Linked DNA regions of Mus musculus: region 2 is reported to be linked to region 1. The links are microRNA targets in miRTarBase. Many come from high-throughput screens and were not tested one by one. Region 1 holds a microRNA gene; the other region holds the end of a gene's coding sequence.
Evidence for each region. Region 1 holds the annotated microRNA mmu-miR-212-5p (ACCUUGGCUCUAGACUGCUUACU, at 2,571-2,593, opposite strand). A microRNA usually pairs through its seed, bases 2 to 8, with sites in the 3' UTR of a target mRNA and lowers its output. Matches are read on the target gene's strand: a 7mer-m8 pairs with bases 2 to 8, a 7mer-A1 pairs with bases 2 to 7 and ends in A, and an 8mer does both.

Region 2: miRTarBase lists Il27ra as a target of mmu-miR-212-5p. Seed matches in the 3' UTR shown: 7mer-A1 at 6,054-6,060, 7mer-m8 at 5,889-5,895 and 7mer-A1 at 5,605-5,611.

Annotation. Positions count from the first base shown.
Region 1 is chr11:75,168,881-75,175,995 of GRCm38, reverse strand. It overlaps Mir212 (microRNA 212), which reads right to left and starts at 2,608; the gene lies at 2,518-2,608. Hic1 (hypermethylated in cancer 1) reads left to right here and starts at 5,741. Exons shown (of 2, transcript NM_010430.2): 1 at 5,741-6,993. The coding sequence starts at 6,477. Ovca2 (candidate tumor suppressor in ovarian cancer 2) reads left to right here. Exons shown (of 2, transcript NM_027136.3): 2 at 1-53. Mir132 (microRNA 132) reads right to left here and starts at 2,314; the gene lies at 2,249-2,314.
Region 2 is chr8:84,024,819-84,031,933 of GRCm38, forward strand. It overlaps Il27ra (interleukin 27 receptor, alpha), which reads right to left. Exons shown (of 14, transcript NM_016671.3): 12 at 6,701-6,791; 13 at 6,495-6,603; 14 at 5,468-6,374. The coding sequence ends at 6,213. It overlaps Palm3 (paralemmin 3), which reads left to right. Exons shown (of 7, transcript NM_028877.1): 3 at 1,376-1,456; 4 at 1,931-2,073; 5 at 2,182-2,266; 6 at 3,308-3,353; 7 at 3,488-5,477. The coding sequence ends at 5,247. Among named protein-coding and RNA genes, the nearest start is that of Palm3, 6.9 kb to the left of the region's middle.

The sequences.
Region 1 (7,115 bases):
GACAGGATGACCTGTACTTGGTAGCCCTATAAATAAAGGCAAAGGTTCATGTGAGTGGTCTGTAGGCCCTGGCTCTACCAGGAAAAAGGGAGGAGAGGGTTCAAGCAGAGCTCTATTAGGTGGAACACACAGAAGGGCCCATGTCTGAAGTGAAGAGCCCTCCCAAGAATCAGAACAGTTCCGAGTCCCAACAAGTGGAGAGTTACTTCCCACCATGCGGAATGAACTACCACATGCACATCCCTGGGGGCCACCTACACAAGGAACACTTGTTAAACCTGGAGTTCCTAGAGAAAACTATAGACCTATTTGTCTGCCCCTGGTCATTCCTGATGTAGCTATTTGCAAACTACAGTCTTGGGTAGAATTTTAAGTCTCTGGTAAATATGTGGTATTAGGAAAGAGCCTCTAGTGGGACTCAAAACCCTCTGGGGAGAAAAAGAAGCCCCCTCCCCCCGAGGAATCAATGCTCTAACATTTATGTACAGCCCAGGCGGATAAGGTCCAGAGGTAGAAATAACATTTATTGAGAATTAACTATACCAGACAATGAGACAAATAGAAGCCTGTCATCTAACTTATTTTTGAGACGGGGGTCTCACGGAAGTTCTGGTTATCCTTGAACTCACAGAAATCCACTTATCTCTGTCTCCCAAGATCTGGTATTCAGAGCATGCTCTACCATAGCCTAACTCATTTATTTTTGGTGCTGGGATCAAACCCAGGACCTTAGGCATGCTAAGCACAGACCTACTACTGAGCTCTATGCCCAGCACCCCTGTCCCCCCCCCCCCCCATTGTCTAATTTCATGAAAAAGTACTGTCATTAACCTAATAACTGAGTCTTACAATTGAGGAAACAGGCACAGAAAGGCTAAGTACCTTACTCAAAATTGGATGATTCAGACTCAAAAGCCCCATATTCTTGTCTGTTGTCATCATCCCCCCCCCCTTTGAGACACGAATCTCATATTTATCTCATATTTATTGTCTAGGCTCCTGAGCAACTGGGACTGCAGGTATACACTGCAGCTCCTGGTTTTGGTTGGTCTTTCTGCTGTCCAGTAAAAAGCAAGCAAAAACTACCGCTCTCTATAGGCTAAATGCCCAACCTGGGCTTCTGCTTTCTAATGTGTAAAGTTGGGAAAGAAGGCATGGTTTACACTAAATGTTTTCTAGGACAACGAACACTCAAAGCATTATATAGTCAACCTTCTAACCACATCTTCTGATGGGTTCCATCTGCAAAAGGTCCTCTTTTCTTTTTTTCTTTTTTCTTTTTTTTTTTTTTTTTTTTTTTTTTTTTTTTTTTGGTTTTTTTCGAGACGACAGGGCTTCTCTGTATAGCCCTGGCTGTCCTGGAACTCACTTTGTAGACCAGGCTGGCCTCGAACTCAGAAATCTGCCTGTCTCTGCCTCCCGAGTGCTGGGAATAAAGGCGTGCGCCACCACTGTCCGGCTGTCCTCTTTTCAAATTATCCCTGCTATTTGTTTTCTGCATCTTGATTACACTCAGGATTTCTACCCTATCAGACAGAGTCTCTCAACAGCCCTAGCCACAGAGAGTATTTACGTGCAGTCTCTGTGGTTGTACTCCTTTTGGGGGCACGTTTGAAGATCTCAAGTTGGGATGCATTACTTACAGACCAGTTGAGGGAAGACTGCTGGCTGATACCTTCAGACAATGAATTAGGGGCCAGGTGAATTTCACTAGCCTGCCAGCTTCTTGCTGTGTTAAGGACCCTTTTAATGATGGCCCAGGAGAAAGTTGGGGGACAGAGTTATGGCTCTATCAGGAAAGGGATTCTTTGCCCTTTCCCCTCTACCTGCTCACCTAGGGTTTTCTGGAAGAAAGGTGTGATAAAACTTCCTTCTCCTCCCCCTTCAGCTTTCTGCTGGCAAAAGTGACTTCTTCCTTCTCACAGGACTCCTGATCCCATCGGTTCACCACTCATGAGATAAGAATCCTTATCGCAGAACCACCCATTTTCTCGCCACCTTAGGCAGCGATACCTCGACTAGGAAGACAGGAGAGTCTCTGAGGAGGATGTTCAGACACTCCGCGGATCTTGCTTCTGCACCGAGGTAGATGCACAGCAGCCTGAAAGGCCGCCTTTCTGAGCACACCTCTTGCCACCTCCGCAGACACATCGAATGTTGCGTCGCCGCCCCGCCTCCTCTTGCTCTGTATCTGCCCAAACCCAGGCTGGCAGAACTCGGGAGTGGTGGGGAGCGTGGGCGTGCTGCGGGGCGACCATGGCTGTAGACTGTTACCTCCGGTTCCCACAGTAACAATCGAAAGCCACGGTTGCCCTGGAGACGCGGGGGCGGGGCTTGCAGGCTGACGTCAGCACCGCGGGCGGCGGGGGTGGCGCGAGTGTCTGCGGGGCCTGCGCCCACCGCAACCCACAGGGACCTTGAACAGGCGTGCCCGAGGGAGGCGCTTGCACTGCATCAGCACCGCGGACAGCGGCGCAGGGAGGCGTGGAGGGGCCGGGGGTCGGCGGTCCTGGGGCGGGGCCAGGCGTCGGTGGCCGTGACTGGAGACTGTTACTGAAGGCGGCCCGGGCAGTAAGCAGTCTAGAGCCAAGGTGCCGGCGCGCTGCCCGGGCGGGGATATCCCGTCGCCCGCAGTTGAGAGTGCTGCTGCTTCTCAGGCCCCCCCACCTCCTCCCAAGCGCGCGCGGACAGACACGCGACCGTGACGTCAGAGTCCTGTGACGTCAAAGATGTCCCAGCGGGGAGGCATTTCCGGCGGTGGGGAGCGGTGGGGGTAGGGCGGGGCGGCCTGATCGAAGCCCCGCCCCCGCCTGGTCCTGAGAGGACAGCTCCGCTTGCAGAGGCGGGAAGTCCTGAGCTCAGTGGGACAGTCCGATGGGACGGGACGGGACCGGACGGGAAGGGACGGGACAGGGAAGGGGCGTGTGTGGAGCATGCAGGACGGGGGTCCCAAGAAAGCCGCAGGGCCGAGGTGTGCGTCTGTCTGTCGTGGGCGCCCTGGCTCAGTCAGTCGGGGCCATCTAGGCTGAGTCACCGCTCTGCGGACAGGGGAGAAATGAGGGGGCGCGTCTCCTGAGACGCCAGCACCTTCTCCCCACTTTCTTGAAAGGATGGCGCAGGAGCTGCTCAGCCTCGGGAAATGGGGTCGGGGGCTCGGCTCTCCGCTTGATGTTTCTCCATAGTGTCTGCGTCTGCATTTGGGTGCCGGCAGGTGCTGCATAGGGTTGGGTCAGCCGCCGGCCCCTGGTCCACCAAGCTGAAAGGAACCTTCGTCCCTCCCACTCTGCCCCCCATCCTCACTCCGGAGTCCCCCTCCAACCCGCCGCCCCTCCGGTCCCCTCCTCGCCTTCCCATGGCGTCCGCGCATCTGCCCATCTCCGACTGTTGGTGGTCCTTACCTGTCGGGCCGCGTCGCACCAGTGCCGGCTTGCCTCCCGCAGCCCGGCCGGCGCCGCCGCTTTTATAGGCGCGCGTAGTACTCGTGCGGCGGCTCATTCATGCGGCCGCGGCTCCTACACACTGACGCGCTGCCGACGTCAGCAGAGAATTTAGGAAACGGGAAAAGAGGCTATTTATAGTGGCAAGCGGGGAGGGGGGGCGTAGGGGAGGGCGGGACGAAGCGACAGGGAGTTGGAGCGGGAGGAGGGTGCGCACGCGGAAGCAGGGTTGGGTAGGGGAGTACGTAACCCCAGGCTTGGCCTCCAAGGGGTTAACTTTCCGGAACTGCAGGCGACGGGCTGGGGGAGAATAGTGCAGGGAGGGTGAGGCCCCGTTCTGTGTTTATTCACTCTCCCCTTCCGGGGCTTTGCGAGTCCTAGGATCTCAGTTCTTTTCTCCTGGACCGCAGGGGTCCTCCCTTGGCAGCCCCAAACCACACTGCTCATTCCCTAGACCCTACAGTCCTCTGACGCCAGAAGATGCCCCGCGATGGTATCACTCCCATTTGGCCACCGTGGTATCCTCGCTCTCTCCTGGTGTGTGTGTGGGGGGGGGGTGGGGGGTGAGGCAAGAAACTGGACCGGTTTAGGAGGGGAGTAGAGTGCACCTCGGACTTTGACATCTAGGAGCTGGGGAAAGAGGGGTGGAGAAGCCTGGGAGTTTTGGAAGGCTTCTTGACTGGGTCACAGGAGGAAAGGTACCGGTCAGATGGTGGAAACCGCAGAGAAGATCAGGGAGTCTAAGGAGAGTGGTCTGGACTTTAGAAATGAGCAGAAGATCTTCTGTAAGAGTTTGGAAAATCCCTGTACGGAGTATCCACAAAAGGAAGGGCTAGCCTGACAAGTACTGGAGAGCCAACTTGGCAGTGCCCCAGGGGGCACGAGGGGGCCACCTCAGTGGGGTGGAATAGGCATAGGCAGAGCCTGTAAGAGAGAAAATGAGACTAAGGGGGCTCAATAGCTTGGCAGAGGGTGTGTGTAGCTGGGACTCCTTTCTAAAGGAGTCAGAATAGACTAAAGGCAAATACGATATGGAACAGGTCCTCCAAAACAGCCCGATTCTGTCTCCGGGCTCTAAATGGGGTCGTCATGCGTTCACGGAGAGGAGGAAGCTGCACCAGGATGACCAGAGGAGCTCAGGAAGAAGGGGAAAGCAAAGTTAAGAGGAGGGGCATGGTGGTGCGCATCCTTGTACGTGGGAAGTAGACGCCTTTGTGAGTTCGAGGCTAGCCGTAGACTTGAAACTGTGGTGGTGGTGGTGGTGGGGCGTGGAGGAGAGGAGAGGAGAGAAGGGGAGGGGAGGGGAGGGGAGTACACAGTGAAACTTGGGCAAGGTTTATGTGGTTGGCCCCATAGCGATACAACAAGGGCTTGAGTCGGTGGAGAGGGATAGAACAAGAAGGAACTGAAGACCCAGCCGACCTCCTTATGGGTCAACCAGCGGATAAACTCCATTGTGTAAAACACATACAGAGCTTTCTCTCCAGACTCGCACGATCTAACCCCATTAAAAGGAGAAAACATTTAAAACAGAGACATCAGAGACACCCTTGCTTGTGGGAGAACTCAGAGTTGTCAAAACTCATCCCTAAGAGCACTTCTGGGGAGCCTTCTTATCCTCAAACGCTCCGTTACACTTCCGCTTCAGCCCCAAGGCGTATCCCTCGACAGAGATACCAAGGTACCTCTTCACTTCTCCTAGAGCTCAGAAATTGTGGAGTCCACCGTGGGACTGCAGTGTTTGTCTTGTATGGACACTGTACGGAGATACGAAGTAGTAAGTGGATTAGATGGAGGCGGAGCACACTGTCGCGGAAACCTGGTGAGCCTTGAAGACTCTTTGGACCAGAAGCCTAGGCCAGGCATAGAAGTCTCCTGCCAAAGAAACGCAGCCTCTAGGAGGCGCCCAAGACCTTGGTGTCTCACTGGTACAGCTAGAGGCCCGGCCGGCTGCCCCGGGCGAGTGACTCAGCCACTACCTCAAGCGGGGGAGTGGGGGCTCGAAGACAGCGTGGGGTGCGGCGAGCGTAGCCCCCACCCGCCCTGCGCCCCGCGCGGTTGCTAAGCTCTCCAAGGCCTCTGAGAGATGAGATCCCGGGAACCTCATTGGTTACCATAGTAACTCTGAGCCCCAGCCTCTCCGGCTTGGCCACGGAGGATGGCGCAGCCAATAAGAAGCTGTGGGCGGTTTGGGGGGACCCCCCCTATAGCGTGGGCGGGGGTCAGGAGGTGCGGGGAAGAGGCGGAGCGTGGGCCACGGAGGCGCGGTGCTTGCAACGGTGCTTATGCCTCCGCCCCGCTATGCAGGGACATTTCCGGTGAGCACCCAAGAGCTGGTGCACGCTCCCCTCCCTCCTAAAAGAGGAGTCACCAACATGAATGAGCTCTCCCTTGTGTGGCGTGTAGGATCTTTTTTTGAGGGGGTCTCAAGCCGCCCGTTCTCGTGATATCTCTCGAATGGTGTATTGGGGGGGGGCAAACTAAGATCCCTCAAAACTGCTTAGATGGGGGATTGGGGACTTGAGGGGCACGTCGCAAGGGGGCTCTGTCCAGCTATTTCCAATGGAGGGCTCTAGGGTCCTTCTGGAGACCCGCAAGTTCGGGGAGGGCTCTTTGGTAGGACCTCTACCCCGTTTCACGTAGTAGCCTCCGCAGTAGCCCAAGAAGTTGGGACTCCGGGAGGGGGTGGGCGGTCTGTGTAAACATGGCGCGCCCTTGTCACTGCTTGGACAGAGTTTGAGTGTGGACGGTTTATGATGTGCATACTGATAACATGTGTCTGAGGGAGAGTTGGAATGTGTCTCTCTCCACTGAGTCCAAGTGAATAATGGTGTTCAGAAATGTCTAATAAAAGCCGCCCCGCTCCTGCTCCGAACGTATGTACCTTCATCTCACTTAGGATTTCTAAGCTCGCCCTCTCACAGAATACTGTTCGTAGTGTTCCACCCCAACCCCTTTTCTAAGATAGGGTCTCAGGTAGTAGAGGCTGACCTTGAACTCCTGGTCCTCTTGCTTCCAACTCCTGGGTGCTATGCTAGGATGATTACAAGAATGCGCCACCATCCCTGGCTTAAGAGTTCCTCATTTGAAGACAGAACCTTCCCCTCCCCCCCCCCGAATTGGCGCGATATAACATATAAATATGTACTCGGGAGCACTCAGCACAAAACCCCCAGGTTTATGGGACTCCCAGGTCCGATATCTGAGTCTCCAGGTGGGCACATCTGGAAGCGCGCGAACCTGCAAGATCTGCTCAGCTCCGCATCTGCAAGCCTCTTGGCCCAGGTGTGCGCCAGAGGTCGCAGCCCAGCCGCACACAGTCCCCGCGTGGCCGCGAGGTGGCGCCATGGCCGCGGCAGCGTCTGCCGGTTCGGGCCGCTCCAGATAAGAGTGTGCGGAAAGCGCGGAGGGGCTGAGACGCGACCAGGACGCGGGGAGGACGGACCGGCAAGACAGACCGACCGGGGGCCCGGCGGGCGGAGGGCAGCGCACTGCAGCCACGTCCCCCCCTGGATCCGCCGGCAGCCGGGCCCGGGGCTTCCGACATGCCCCCCAGGTGGGTCCTCGAGTTGGCGACAGGGAAGGGCAAGGGACCCGGGACAATCTGGTCCTCGTGCGCCGGCTACCTCGGGAGCATCCTCAGGCGTGGGCGCCCGGGTCGCGGCTGGCGTTTGGGGC
Region 2 (7,115 bases), not on the chromosome of region 1:
CTGGCTGTCCTGGAGCTCACTTTGTAGACCAGGCTGGCCTCGAACTCAGAAATCCGCCTGCCTCTGCCTCCCGAGTGAGTGCTGGGATTAAAGGCGTGCGCCACCACGCCCAGCTCAGATCTCTGTTTCTTGTACCCCACCCTTGGAGTCCTCCCTGAGGGAACCCTTGTGAGACTGTCCTTCTGGCCCCCTCTCTCCTCCATTACTCTTGTTTACCTGTGTGCCTCTTACCTCTGCTCCCGTTTCTCTGACTGCCCTCTCTGCACCCCTTTCCTCACTAGCCTACTTCCGGAAGACCTCAGCTCTTGGCACCTTCATCTTTGAACTCCATATTTCTGACTACCACTAATGCATCTCTATTCTCCAAACATGCTTTGCATTCTATATTTCTACACCCCCACACTCCAGAACCCTTTCTAGAACCCATTTCTAGACCTCACCTCTGAACCCTGACTCCACCACTCTGCACCTGCCCCTCTTATTCTCCCCCGCCTTTGTGCTCCGTTTCTCTGGCTTCCATGGTCTGTACCTCCTCTTTTGGCACTCTTAGCAACCCACCTTTCTGTAGCCACTTCTGTACCTCGACCCTGAATTGCCCCTGTTCCCTAAGTCTCGGATCACCTGTTGTAACCTCCTTTTTCTAACCCTTTCTTTTGTAGCCCACCTTTCTAACTTCTCCACCTCCCCATTCCCATTTTTTCTGGTCTCTCTTCAGCACCTCAACGTTAAGCAGTGCTCTTGGGTACCCTGCACAATCACCTTGGAAGGTCATGTCTTTCAACACAACCTGCGCCCTGATTTACTGCATATCTTTGTACCCTATCTCTGCGTTACCTCTATATATGCCTGAATCTCTCTGGATGTCTACCTCTGCACCCCCATTTTGGACTCCATCTCGCTAGCACCTTCTCTTTATCTAGATCAACACATCCCTGACCCCCCCCCCCCTTTTTAACGATTTTTTTTTTCCCAGCAGGGTTTCTGTAGCCCAAAGTAGCCTCTAATTGGCTACTCCCTTTCTAGTCCAAGCTGGCCTGGAACTCATGGAGATCGTCCTACTGAGTCTTGGGGTTACCAAGCGCGTTCGCCTCGCCTGGCCATTCTCCTTCCTATCTTAGAAGTGCAAAACCCTAGTCCCCATCTCTAGGCCCCGCCTCCACGCCCCCATTTGCGGACCACCATTGGGCGTGGGCCTGGCTTCCGCAGCATGAGGGCGCGGCCGCCTGGTCCTGCCCCGCCCCGCCCCTCTCGCTGCTGAGTCAGCGCTCTGCAGCCCCCGCCCGCGGGAGGACGCCCCGGGAGTCCCGGGAGCCCCGAGGAGGCGGGCGGAGGGCGGCCCTGGACTAGCCCGCAGCTCTGGGTCGTGTGTGCGCAGGAGAAGCGGCGGCTGCAGGAGGAGATCGGCGCCGCGCGTCGCGAGCTGGAGGAGGAGAAACTCCGCGTGGAGCGGCTCAAGGTTGGGGGCTCCTATCCAGTCCGGGGAAGTGAAGTGGGGTGTCTGTGTGAGTCCGGCTGAAAGACAATAGGAACCTCTGACTAATTTGGGAAGGGGGAGATGGAGAGGAGGCAGGCGAAAGGTAGCCATGGAGACAGCTGTCCCACTCTGGAAGAGTATGGGGGGCGGGGGTGGAGGATGGTGGTGAGCTTCATCCCAGTTTGGTGGTGATGAGAGGAACCTGAGGCCAACGTTGGGGTGGAGAGGGGCACATTGAGAGGTCTTTCCGAGCCTAGCAGAGCCAGTCGACTGGGCAGGCTGGAAGGATAATGGTTGCATGCCTCTGCTTGGGAAGGCTGTATGCTGGCATGGTGTTGGGGTACGAGATATGGACATGTCTCCCATCCTGATGGATGCGCCCTCTGGGTGGTTGCAAGCAATGGGTGGGGAGGTAGGCTTCCTGTGGCTAGTCCCGGACTCTCGTTCCATACCCAGAGGAAATCTCTCCGAGAACGTTGGCTCATGGACGGGGCAGCTGAAGGGCCAGAACGGCCGGAGGAACCCGCCTCCAAGGACCCACAGTCGCCTGAGGGACAGGCCCAGGCTCGAATTCGCAACCTGGAAGACAGTTTGTTTTCGTGAGTTGAGAATCCCTGATTTTGAGCCATGCCCCAGCCTTTAGCAGCTCTAAGAAATGGAGCAGGTTTGGTCCATTCCGGCTTCCAGCAGCCTCCTTTCTCCCTCAGACTCCAGTCACAGCTACAGCTGTTGCAAAGTGCGTCCACAGGTGCTCAACACAGACCTGCTGGTAGGCCCGCCTGGCGCAGAGAGGTGAGCAGGGCCTGAAAGAGGTGGAGAGGAGGGGGCTGTGGTCAGCAGGGTTAGAACAGGACACAGCGGAAATGTGCTCTCTCAAAACGCAGCCTCTGCCTTGGTAGAGAATGGTAGGCAAACCCACTCACTGTTACTTTGTTCTGTGTTCTGTGCAAGTTGGTTGTCTTGGCTAGATCTTAGTTTGCTCATCCCTAAAGTAGGAATACCAACTCAGAAGTGCCTTTGGAAGGGCCAGTGAGATTATAATTGAAAGCAATTAGCCCAATCTCGAAGCCCGCGACCTTGAACTCGTGATCTCCCTGCTTCAGCTTTCCTTGTGGTAGGATTACCGGTTCCTACCACCAAGCCTTGATCACAAAGGGACTTAGTGTGCATGCAGGTGTGTGAATACAGGTGTGTGCAGCTGCCCCATCGTCTTTCTTCACATCTTTCCTTCACTCCACGCTGGCCACATTGTCTCTCTTCTATTATTCCCTTTAACGTCTGGCTCACCCGGGCAGTACTGTAGCCTTAGCCTCGAACAATGGTCTCCAACTCAGCACTCTGGACAGGGCACACCCTTCTCGGCAAGCCTCTTGAAGCCACGCCCAGCTCAGTCTCTAGGGGAAACCTCCTCACCCTAGACCTCTCTTCCTTTTCACCGCTTTGTTCTCTCCCCTTAACTATTTGCAAACGCGGCTTATTTATTTGTTGTTATGTCTATTACTTACCTCCTCCCATTGGAACTTAAAGTCTGATTGCATCAGGTCTTTACAGGTTGAGGATGTGGTTCAACAGCAATATTGCAATAACCTAGTGTGGCCCAGGGCTTGGGTTCCATCCCAAGTATTCCTTCCCCCAAATACTTTATACTCACCTCAGAAGCTGTCCACGCAAGCACTAACATGATATACTGTTAACATGATATACTTTATAGTCACCTCAGAAGCTGTCCATGCAAGCACTAACATGATATACTGTTTAAGCGGGTGGGGCACAAACATACCTGGGAAGTACAACCTGGGACCAATTTTGACCTTGTCTCTATTCTCCTTGCAGGGTCCCCGTCCTCTCTCTCAGTCTGCCATGGAAGCAGCTCCTACCGGTAAGCATTGGAGTCCCCAAGACCTGGGGTACCGTCACCACCAGATCATGTGACTCAAAAGAATCTGGGGTAAGGGTCCTGTTATTCCCCCATCATCCTGACCTCCCTGTCCCGTCCTCCCTTGATTCCCCCAGCCCCGACTGATGTGGACAAGCGAACTTCCCTGCCAGATGCTCCAGTGGGCATGTCCCCTGAGTCTCCTTCTGATCCCAGGGAGGAGTCGATTGCGGTTCTACCAGCCTCGAGGCCATCCACTGAAGCTATAGGGACATCTTCAGAAGCCAATGGCCCCTGCCCTGGGCACAGCCCTCTCCCAGAGCAGCTGAGTCTAGGGGTGTCGAGTGTCACTAAGGCCAAAGGAGATGGTGCAGTGGAGGTGGTTTGGGCTGGGCTTAGAGCCACTGAGAACAGTGCCACAGGCCCCACAGATGTGGAGCTGGAGGCTAAGGTGGAAGAAGTGGTTCTGGAGGCCATTGGGGCCAGGCAGGGCACCAGCAGCCCTGAGCTCCCCACTTGGGTGAAGGAGGGCAGGGGTGTAGTGGAAGTGGTCTGGGAGGGGCTGGGAGGCAGGGATCTTGATGTCACAGGGGAGTCAGGCAGGGATGCAGAGGCCACACACACCAGTTCCAGGAGACTCCAGGAGCAATTTGAGGCTGAAACTTGCAGAAAAGAAGAAGGTGCTTCCAGAGATAGTCTTGAGGGTGTTGGGCAGGGAGGTCCTGGAGTAGAGGAGGGATCCTTCATTTGGGTGGAGAGAGTGGCCCTCAGCGAAGACTGGGAGGAGATTTTGATGGAGGGTTTGGAAGCACCGCAGGGGGCAGGGTCTGCAGGAGAACCTGAGGCTTTGATTGGAGCACAGCCCAGAGGAGGTGAAGCGTCCTGGGAGGTAGAGAAGAGAGAAGTAGAGAAAGTTGAGGGCATAGAAGAGAAGGGAAGGGCAGAAAAGCTCGGGGCAGAGAGGGAGGATGGTGTAGCTGTGCTGCCAGATGAGACCCAGGGAAGAGAGGAAAACGAGGCAGAAAAGGTAGAGAGAAAAGACAGTGAGGGCCCCTTTCCAGCAGAGATAGCAACAGATGAGGAAAAGTGGGAGGTGAAAACGACGGAAGGTGAAGAGTCGTTGGAAGTAGAAAAGGGAGGTGAGGCAGAGCCGGTCACCACTGAGAAGCCATTGGTGACAGAAAAAAAGCCAGAGGGCTCACTGGAGACAGAGAGAAAAGGAAGTGAGATGCCATTGGACCAGGAGAAAGATGGTGAGGGCTCATTGGACAGAGAATCAAAAACAACTGAGATACTATTGGATGGAGAGATAGGAGATAAGAGCTCATTGGATGAAACTAAAGGAAGCAAGAAACTATTAGATGAGAAGACAGGAGGTGAGGGCTCATTGGATGAAGAAGCTGAAGGAAGTAAGAAACTATTGGACAGGGAGGCAGATGGCATCGAGCCATTCTCTGAGGTGGACAAGACCTCAGGCGCCAAGGATGATGTGAGTCCAGAAGAGCAAGGCAAAGCCAACGAAGGAGCAGAGTTCCAGGCGGAGGATGCCAGCCCACCAGGAGCCACTGTTTGTGTCCAGGACGAGCCCAGGTCAGAGGAGCAAGGACAGCAAGAACCAGAGAAGCAAGAAGGCCTGGTAGAAGGGGCAGCCAGTAAGCCTGAGCCCTGTACTGAGCGAGAGGGTCCCCCAGGGGATGCTACCCTGCTCCTAGCTGAGACCCCAGCCCCGGAGCAGCCTGTGGAAAGCCAGCCACTGCTCCATCAGGAAGCGTCCAGCACTAACCCTGGTGACCACCCTGCACCTACGTATGCCCCTGCCCAGCAGCTTGAGCTGGCTGAGGCCAAAGAAGCTAGTGGTCCCAAGCAGAAGACGTGCCAGTGTTGTGTGGTCATGTGAGCCTACGCCTGCCGCCAGCACCCCACTCCTCCTCTCACAGCTACCTCGCTGCCTGGCACCCAGCAGAAGGTCCCAGGCATAGACAGGGTACCACAGGACTGGTAGTGGCACCCAGGAGCCGGAGGGCCCTGTGCTTTTAGATTCCCTGCCCACTGCCTGTGGCCCTGACTCCCTTCTGCAATGAAGCCTTTATACTTGAAAATTAAATGTTAAGGCACTCTGGCTTTAAGAAAAAAAAGATTTATTTATTAATTTATTTTTATTTATTTATTTATTTTTATTTTATGCGTGTGTTTTTCGGTGCATAAGTAACCATGTGTGTGCAGGGCTCACAGAAGCCAGAAGAGGGCATTGGATTCCTTGGACCTGGAGTTACAGGTGATTCTGAGCTGCCCTGTGGGTGCTGGAAACTGAACGTGTGTCCTTTGCAAGGGCAGGGAACCAAACTTTGGTCTACTGCAAGAAAACACAGGCTCTTAACCACTTCAGGCCCTTGAATGTGTCTTTCGAGTCACCACCTCATAGCCTGCCTGGTAGTTATTCTTACTAGAATCAAAAGTTATGACTCGATGAAGTGACGCACACCTGTAATCCCAGCTCTGGGGATGCTGCAGCAGGGAGGATCACAAGTTCGAGGCCAGCCTTGGCTACCTAGCAAGCCTGTGACACAAGGAGGAAATAACAACGATGGGGTTGAGGCTGTGAGCTCACTGATTCTTCTGCAGTAACAAACAGATGCCCAAGACCCAGAGGCAAGGAAAGCAAAAGCTGGTTGGGCGGGAGGCGGCACACTCATTTCTTCTCAGTCCTTGGAAGGCAAAACCAGGTGAGTCTTGGTGAGTTCCAGGCCAGCCTGGTTGTTATATCAAGTTCCAGGCCAGCCATAGTGAGATCCTGTCTCAAAAATCTAAAAATACAAAAACGTCTAGCCCAAGATAGGGGTACAGCCCCTAGCCGTAAGCAGATCAGACTAGAAGGCCCAGCTCCTCTGGTGTGGGCAGGAAGTGTTTCTCATACCCAGAGTAAATTGGGGCAGAGGCTTTAGGGGACTCCACAACAGGCTGTAGCTCCACTTCCTCCACCTCCAGGATGGGTCCGTCCTTGGGCGGTTGGGGCAGGCTCACCTCCTGGGGAGATGGAAGCTTGAAACTCAGTGCTCCTCCCCTCCCACTTGCCCCAGCATCCTCCAGTTGGAGAGTGGTGCTCCCAGTTAGAGAGTGGTGCTCCCAGGGGTGCCGTTTTCTCACCTTGATGTAAGGTTGCCCAGAATTGCTGTTGGCAGGATCAGGAACCCTCTCCCAGATCCACTGGGGAAGCAACTTGTGCCGCCAGTGTAAGCACCTGGCCTGTAGGCACCTGGTGGCAAACATATTGCTAGAATCCATGAACTTTCTGAGCCCTGAGGCCACCCAGCCAAGGCCTAGCTGCCAAAGCCCATGTCTGGAAGCCTTACCTGGTACTGGCCAGGCTCAGGCCACAGCCCATCAGAAGCAAACCCCACAGGGACAGAAACCAGGGCAGAGCTTTCCACCTGATCCTATTATCTGTGGGTAAGGAGAATAGTTGGCACTAAGTAGACAGCCATCTTGAACAAGGGGTCTGTGAATGGGAGAGGCTTTTGAGTGGATGGGGTTGAAGATATGGCTATCCTCAAGAAAGACTGGGCTTTTCAGTGGGTGGGGCAGAGGGTCCAACCATCATGAAGAAGGGGTGAGACTTAGGGCACAGGAGTGTGCTGACAGGCAAAGCCAAGGTTGGGAGTGCAGCTGTTTTAGACATACAGTGTTGGATACTGCAATGGCATTTAGCAGAAGCAGACCTGGGGTGTGGTCCTGCGTTCCATCCTAATCCTCTCCATCAGGAGCTTA